2 linked regions of the Bombyx mori genome follow. The protein of the gene in region 1 purifies or fractionates together with the protein of each later gene. This does not show direct contact. Links are inferred from orthologs where the notes say so. Each region holds a gene or a part of one and is shown on either strand. Other genes may lie near its edges.

Region 1 (4,487 bases):
GCGAGAAACTCAGTGGGCTGTGTCTATGGGTTAATTCGCTCGTCGAGCCCTTCGTCGCAAGCAACGGGTTCGACGAGGACGGTGACCGGTGCTTGTGGTGCCTAAAAACACCGTTAATGGATCAGGAAGATCCATAATGACGTGCTTTGGGTGACGTCGACGGTTTACCATACGGTCTACAGGGTCGGGTATGTAGTTTCCAGCGGCCACGACAAGAGGGTTATTATATCGTGCCGCCTTCTCAAAATGGCGCAACGATGCCGACTGTAGATACTTACTAACGGAATCGAGCTCCAGGTCATCGTGGAGATCCACGTTCCTCAGGAACCATGGCGCTCCGACGGAGTCGCTACTAACGCTCGCGCTGGTCTGTAACAAGGTATACTACGCGTATGTTCGAGTGCCACACATTCACTCTCGCTCTCTTTCTTTCAGTATGGTAGCGTTAAGCGTTTAACGCAACGTTGACGGAAGCTTTTTTTTTTTTATTGCCTTTGTAGGCAGACGGGCATACGGCCCACCTGATGGTGAGTGGTTACCGTCGCCCATGGACTTCAGCAATGCCAGGGGCAGAGCCAAGCCGCTGCCTACCGAAAAGTTGCATTAGAAGTTTCACTTCAAAAATTTTTTTTACTTTACGCAGAGAATTTGAATATTTCAGGGCAGTCAAGTACATTATTTGACCTAATTAGTAAGTCATATTATCATTTTATACCGTTAGCGCTCATGATCACTAAGTGTTTAGTAGGGAATGTTACTAACATTAGCAGGTTTATTTGGGCCACTACACTCCCTTTGACAACCAATGCCCTACGTTCCATGTCCATGTCCATCTTTTAATTCCTCAGTTACAATGTGCCCTAAATATTTTAACTGGGTTACTCTTTGTACAGGTTAGCCACAGAGGATTACAGGCGGGACATGAGGCGGTCTTTTGCTTACACCTCTGAACATCAACAGCTCACTTTTACTTGGGTTATATTTTAGGCAATGATGCTCGGCATAGGATTCACATATGGACAGCAACTTTCTTAACTCACACATTGATAGAATCAGCAGCACCATCTTATCTGCTTTAATAAAGATATGATATAGATGTGATAGAAATACAATTCTACAACCTATTCAACGTTACCAACAATTCTACGTTAATGCTTAATGTGTTTAATTAGCTTAATCTGTATATTTAATTAATTTCAGGTGCTTCGATAGTTTGCTTTTCTTTTTGGAATGGTTGCATTGAGTAAGTTATTTAAACTAGTCGTTTGAAGAAATAATAAGACAATTACTAAAATATGCATACCAACTAAAATGTGCACAGAAAGATCACTCAGGTTTCCAGTACAGGTTGCGTACAGTATAAACCAGACGAAAAGTTTTCTTTTAGTTATAAGGTTGATCCTTCTAGAATAGCAGTTTTTGTAGTTCCTCTAGAAAAATGTTAGTATAACCAGGCCATAAAATCTTTAAAAAAATTATGGCAATCTATAATCGTTATGTCAATGTCAGGATTGTCAATTATCACCGCTGTCAGACACTGGTCTTTCGGAGATGGGGAATTTGTCAATAAATCTAAAGCCTAATTTTATGGGTTTATTAAAATGTTTAAACAGTATAAATTGGTTTATTGTGTTTTTTAGTCTAATTAATTTATCCATGTGCATTTATGAGGATCAAATCGGGAAGTTTGACTGGTAACTATGCATTTTAGGTTATGCCCCTTGTATGACATCGTTAGTTTTCAAGGATTATTTTTCTAATAAAATTAACCTTTTCAGGCGCCAAAGCTATGTTGGGCGTATAAAGTTCGCCCAATTCGATACGGTTTCAACCGCCAGGAAGATAATAGTAGCGACCGAAGAGAATGTTTTAGCTGCACTCAATCTGAAGACAGGTACGCCGATTTTAATTATTCGAAACTTTTAAAAAATAATTTTTAGTTCAAAACACGGTATTGATAGATATCTGCATCAATAAGTTCACAGTATTCGTTGATTTTATGGTTGAATACTTAAAACATGATGTAGTCAGTCATAGTTTTAAAATTGCTATAGTCAGGGCTCCACCGATTCATTAGGGTATATATAGTGTGTATGTCCTATGGTTTTGATAAGAACCCATACTTAAATCTTACTGTTTATTGTCCCTATCACTATTTATGATAACTTGATTACTTAAATTTATTGATTATGCATTATAAAATCAACACAGTTAAAACATATTAATTAATAACTATAATTATGCACATGTCTTGTTTCAAATACACCTAAATTTTTATTGCTTAGGAAAATCATAGATTAACTAATCTTATTAGGTAGCAGTCTGTTTAGTAGGATTTAGAGATACCAGAGCTTAGTTATCAGTTACCTGGTTGAGTAATGTAGGCCTACAATAGCACCACCCTGTCTTTTTACTAACTCAATCATTTACAGAATAAAAAAAAAAAATGCCAACCTCTTTGAATTTAAATAATAACATTCTCTCAGTGCTCTTTTTGTATCATATTCATTAAAGCTGTACTAGCATAAGTGAGGTACCTATCCAAGTGAGCTCACAAAATTATTTATCACTAGTATATATGCAGTTTTTTGGTAAAAAATAAAATTGGAAATTTAACGGCTGTTAAAACTATACACTCAATAAACTCAATTTATATTCAATATTCAAACTCAACTCATATTTTAAAATTTAACAGGGCAGGTAGTGTGGAGGCATGTGTTTGAGAGTACATCTTCTGGCAACATCCAGTTGCTGCATCTATCAGATCAAATAATCACCGTGACGGGCTCCAATCCTTATCTCGTTAGGGGATGGGACTTGAGTACTGGTACGTAAAAATATTTAATTGGCTTTTTAGGGGTGATGATTCTTTTGCAGACTGAAAGGGAAATGAGTGTGTCAACTGGGCCATCAGTATCATTTATTTTGCTTATATTTAATTCTACACAAGTATTTCAATTTCTAAAACTGTGTCTATAGGACCGAAACAAATCAATCATTATTATATGGATATTATGTTTTCTAGTAATTAAGTCATTAATTGTTAGTATGTCTGCATGCCTTCTATAGCTGTAAAAAATTGTACTAATGATTAAAAATATGGTGCAACATAAAAAAAAAGAATCAGTTACATACATCAAGTAAGAAAACACTTGATTTAAATTCCAAATTTTTATGCAAAATCAGTTTGCATTATTACTAGACATTATTGCTGTATTCATTATTTATAGTAATCTAGTATTCATCATTATATATAGTACCATAAAGGCATAATGAAATATTACTAATAATAATAAAATATAATCATGGGTATTTTCTTCAGGCGTACTAATTTGGGAATGGGGCCTCACCCTCCAGAAGAATGAGCACACTGATTTCTCCGAATGGTGGGTTCAGAATGGTCTGCTTGTTCATATGGTGCCGAAATTTGGCTCTCACATTGAGGTCAGCGTCTACAATGTAGCTACTGGACATAATCGAGGAGCAACTTCGAAACTACCTGCTGTTTGGATCAATGAGGGGTTTGTATTTTTAACCTGCTAACTCCAATTAAAGTACTGATTGTACCATTTTAAATTGTAAAAATAATAATAGACTGAATATAATCAAATTCTAATCAATAATTGATTAATTGTCATAAAAATGATTCATATTATTGATAAAAATCATATGCTGAATTAATGAAGAGGACTCAGACAGTCGTGCTAAAAATGTATTTTTATTCTAATGTATTGACTTCAGTCATCCATATCAAACTGGGGCAAACTTTGTTGTGGTCTTTATGCATTCTATTGACCTCTAACATAAGGTGGGCAGAGGAACCTATGGCCTGATTTTATGATCTCTGCTTTCGGTCTTCACATATGCAAAGAATCCAGCCAAAATGTTGTCTGTTCATTTATGATAACTTTTTAAACTAATTATAAATAGTGGTAGATTCAAATAATAATCGATAATTTATTTCATATTCCATAGCTGTGTCTTATCTCCACCATATTACACCTGTATCTCGGGATCACCCGGAAACCAGCTGCTCTTATCCATGGATGTTACGTCTGATGCTGTACAAATCATAAGCAAACCTTTAGCAGAATACACAACGGCAAGGAATGGAAACCTGAATCCCTTCGACACTAACACAGTCATACCAGGGTTTCTATTAAATGAAAAAATCATATTGATCCGTGGCAATAAGTTTGAAGCGATCAATATAGCTATCAGTGAGCCATCTGCAAGTGTTGCTCTTGTGGATAGCGCTAGCGGACCATTAGTTTTGCAGACTTGGAATGATGAGGCTAAGGTTAGTCAAATAGCTTTTACTCGTTTTAATAGACTTAAGGGAACCTTATCTTTAAATGAAGGTAATGTGGTAATAAAGCTTTATGATATCTGACACTTTTTGTCAATATATAATGCATATTTGGCATATTCAAGAAAACGTGTCACGTGTTGGAACAAAATGAAAATACGTTTTTGAGTATTTTTTT
Region 2 (4,057 bases), on another chromosome or scaffold:
CGGCATTCCCGATCCTGCGGAAAGAATGGAAAGCAGTCGACGTCGCCCCAATCACGTCATTTCGGATCCTCCCGATCCACTAACGGTGCTTTTAGGTACCTCAAGCACCGGTCACCGTTCTCGTCGAACCCGTCGTTTGCGACGAAGGGCTCGACGAGTGAATTAACCCTCAGACACAGCCCACTGAGTTTCTCGCCGGATCTTCTCAGTGGGTCGCGTTTCCGATCCGGTGGTAGATTCTGCGAAGCACAGCTCTTGCTAGGGTTCGTGTTAGTAACGTCGTCAGGTTTGAGCCCCGTGAGCTCACCTACTAGTTAAGGTTCCGCTGACATAGCCTCTCAAGGCTATCAGCTTAGGCAGGAAAAAAAAAAGTAATACGGCGGAAGCTGCCAATAACAATCATTAATATGTACTCATTCTTGCCACTGCGTCACAACTCACAATACAACTAGAAAATTTTAATAATTGTAAAATGGTAAGTGTGATCCTCCCGAGCTTGATTTGTGTATCAGTTATCAAAGTAAGTGGTAAATCTACACTGTTTGTTTTAATGTTATGAAGAAAATCATTCATTATAAAATGTTTAAGTCATTTCCTGATCTGGGCTGTTCCAATTTAATTTTTGCAAATATTTTCGACTAAGTGTGACTGAGTCACTTTCCGGTTCCCATACTTACGGCGGAGTACGCTAGTTTCGACAGGTAGGTAACGCTGGATTTACACTAAGTATCGCCCTAAGACACCGTCAGAATCGCTATTACCTTTAGTCTACATAAATTTAGTAATAGTTCGAAGCATTATTTTTTTGGAGTACCTTACTCGCAGTTGAAAACTTTGAATAACGTTTAATGAGTATTGTAAGATGACATCAAATGAAAATCGAAGAAAAAACGGAATAAAAATAATTATTAGGTAAATGAAAAAAAATCACAACTACATCCAAAATATTAACTAAAACCCGAAAACCATGCTATGCTAGTTATGTAAGGGGACAAACAAATTCAATATAACGACATATATAATATATAACATAGAATATAGCCGTAAGAAGCAACAGTGTACTTTCAACGCATAAGTAAAATCTAATTTGTTGCTGACGGTCATAGCTACGATACATAGCTTCCACAATCCACAGTCGAAAGTTTCGCGAAACAAGGACGATGAAAAAAATCTATTTTGAGTTTGCACTTATACACTGTCGTAACCAAGCTAGTTCTGCCAAGTGGGACTCCACCCGGCTGCCAGGTGCTTGCTCAACAATGGTGAAGCCAAGTCTACTTGCATTACATTACGGAACACAAAATTGACTTTTTGGCGGGAACGCGAGGAGTGAAGTTGTGTGATTTTTTTTATTTTGTCTATTTAGCGTTTCTTCAAGTTTAAATGTGTAATAACGGTAGTTTATAAACTGTTTAGTATCTGTGAAAGTGCACAAATGTGGGAAAAGCAAACAAAGCCGCTGAACGTAACTTATCGAGATCCTACAAAAAGTCAATTGAAAAAATCTCAGTAAATGACCACTATTTTACTGAGATTATATTTCATTACCATATCATCTCATCTCGTTTCATTTCATTTAATTTCACTTTATATTATCATTTTTCATAAAAATAAGAACATAAATTAAAATAAGAGTTGACCTAAAGGTCTTAGTTACCAGGTCATAAAATCGCTTAAAAAAAAGGAATTCAAAATTTTATTTTGATTCGTGGCAATGATTTATACGTCAAATGTCAAAAATGACAACAGCAATGACAGATAAAATAATGTCATGTTACGTGGCCCGGGTCGAAAATTGAAGCATACGCACGCTCAAACGTAAAAGACCAAAATAAAACAAAAATTGTATGTGATTATTCACATTTATTAAAATGAAGTACTTAAGAATATCACAATGGCTGGTAGTAACTTTGTTAAACCTAGTTAGCAATGCGTACAGCTACACAGTCACAGTTGATGCACATGCCGAAGAGTGCTTTTACGAAAATGTAGAAGCCGATACCAAATTGGGTAAGACTATTCAGCTGAAATATGCTTTATTTGCTTTATCTTACACCATTTGCACTCAATAAAATCAAATACAAGTATGTAAAGAAGAAATAACAAATAGGTTTTTGTTTATGTTACATACCCTAAAATCTGTATGTTTGCACACGAAATGATAAACAATATGCGTGAATGAAAACCATACTTGCCGAATTTTCTGAAAGGGGATGCTTGAATTGATATATTTGGTCATTAAATTAGATCTTTTTATTATTTAATTTATTCAATAATGTTAATGTAATTGTAATATAATCTTGATATTTTCAGGATTATCGTTTGAAATAGCAGAAGGTGGTTTCTTAGATATTGATGTAATAATACTAGGCCCTGATGGCAACGTCATTCATAAAGCAGAGAGGGAGTCATCTGGTATTTATACATTTTCTGCTCCAACTGCAGGGAAGTATACTTATTGCTTCAGTAATAAAATGTCATCCATGACACCCAAGGTTAGTATTAACTTTAGACAATAGTAAGATTTCCAGTTTGATGTTGTACAGTAATTTTATATGTAACAGTAGAACCTGTCACAAAAAGTCTGTTTTGAAAATAGCAAACAACATTAGCTTAAAATTATGTAACAGTTAATATTTTAAAAATTGTGAGCTATATAAAAATTGTGAACATCTTGTCTTGCCTCATCAATAGAGGTGAAATCCAAAAATATTATTTGCATCCTTTTTATTATTTCTTCCTTTATGGATGAATCTTTAATATTCTTGTTAGTTATTTAGTTAAAATAGCTTATTGATGTTCTTTTTTAATTCAACTTAACATAAACTAAACATAGCTTAAAATTATTGTATCAGATACATTAACAAGGAGTTTCATTTGGTAAAGCATGTACAATTTTATTGTAATATTTTGTTAATAGGTGGTAATGTTCAATCTTGAAATCGGAGAACCACAAACTAAATCTGGTAATGAAAATGAAGCTGACCATAATAAACTTGAGGACATGATCAAAGAACTTGCTACTACATTAAGAACTATCAAACACGATCAAGAGTATATGCAGGTATATATTCTTGTATTATCTTACAGATAAATGATACCGAAAATAGATTAAAATATGAAAGTATTATTTTTTATTACATTAAAATCATTCCTAATAAAGTTATGCAAAATCTCAAGAACATACTAATTTCAGGTGCGTGATCGTATCCATCGTTCAATAAATGAAAGTACAAATTCACGTGTGGTGATGTGGTCTATATTTGAGGCTTCAGTACTGCTTGTCATGACTATCGGACAAGTCTACTATCTCAAGAGGTTTTTTGAAGTGCAGCGTGTTGTGTAATGTTAATAGACTTATTTTACATTACACGTGTTGGTGTGTGAAGTGTTGTATGACATTTAAATTATTTGTTTATCCAATGAGATGAAATAAGTTTTTGTAATATTAATAAATTTAAAATCTCCCTCTTTGTTTAATTCAAAACCAGAGAAATATTTCATGTAAATCAATATATTTTTCTACTAATAATGAGTCTACTAGACAGTATTTTATTAAATATCTAATTGTTAATGTATTAATAGTAGAAGCATGACTTAATGCACTATTTATTTTGTTTAGATATCATTGCTGAGCATTTAATACAACATCTGTACAAAGTTTCCTGCGGGTGTTTTCTATTTAAGCTTTTGAATTCTTTTTCATTTTATTAAATAAAATTCCATTTATTTATTTGTTTTTGGTGATTCAATTCACATTTTATGTGTGATATCTTAATAAAAGGGGTGATTCCCACTTCTTTCTAGAAAAAGATTAGAAATTCTCCCTAGTTAACAAACAAACACGTTTGTTTGTTTTATGTGACGTAGAGGGTGAAAAGAGTATTATCATCACTTTACATACACTGTGCATTATGCCTAATCCAGTTCCTTTCTAGGTATTTTAGGAAAAACTGTTTTACTGATGTTAGGACATCTTGTGAGTCCACACGGGTAGGTACCACCACTCCGCCTATTTCTGCCGTGAAGCAGTAATGCGTTCCGGTTTGAAGGGTGG

What was found.
Region 2: the proteins of ER membrane protein complex subunit 1 (region 1) and transmembrane emp24 domain-containing protein 2 purify together in Homo sapiens (affinity purification with mass spectrometry; 3 studies listed by BioGRID and IntAct, with this or other methods). This does not show direct contact. The link is inferred for Bombyx mori from reciprocal best matches to the Homo sapiens genes EMC1 and TMED2.

The regions. Positions count from the first base shown.
Region 1 is NC_085112.1:13,914,943-13,919,429, forward strand, and holds the start of ER membrane protein complex subunit 1, read left to right. Parts: upstream 1-1,506; 5' UTR 1,507-1,551; coding exon 1,552-1,694; intron 1,695-1,778; coding exon 1,779-1,894; intron 1,895-2,695; coding exon 2,696-2,827; intron 2,828-3,322; coding exon 3,323-3,521; intron 3,522-3,975; coding exon 3,976-4,300; intron 4,301-4,487. UniProt on the Homo sapiens protein: Part of the endoplasmic reticulum membrane protein complex (EMC) that enables the energy-independent insertion into endoplasmic reticulum membranes of newly synthesized membrane proteins.
Region 2 is NC_085122.1:5,876,077-5,880,133, reverse strand, and holds transmembrane emp24 domain-containing protein 2, read left to right. Parts: upstream 1-1,728; 5' UTR 1,729-1,871; coding exon 1,872-2,010; intron 2,011-2,313; coding exon 2,314-2,495; intron 2,496-2,920; coding exon 2,921-3,064; intron 3,065-3,196; coding exon 3,197-3,346; 3' UTR 3,347-3,467; downstream 3,468-4,057. UniProt on the Homo sapiens protein: Involved in vesicular protein trafficking. Mainly functions in the early secretory pathway but also in post-Golgi membranes.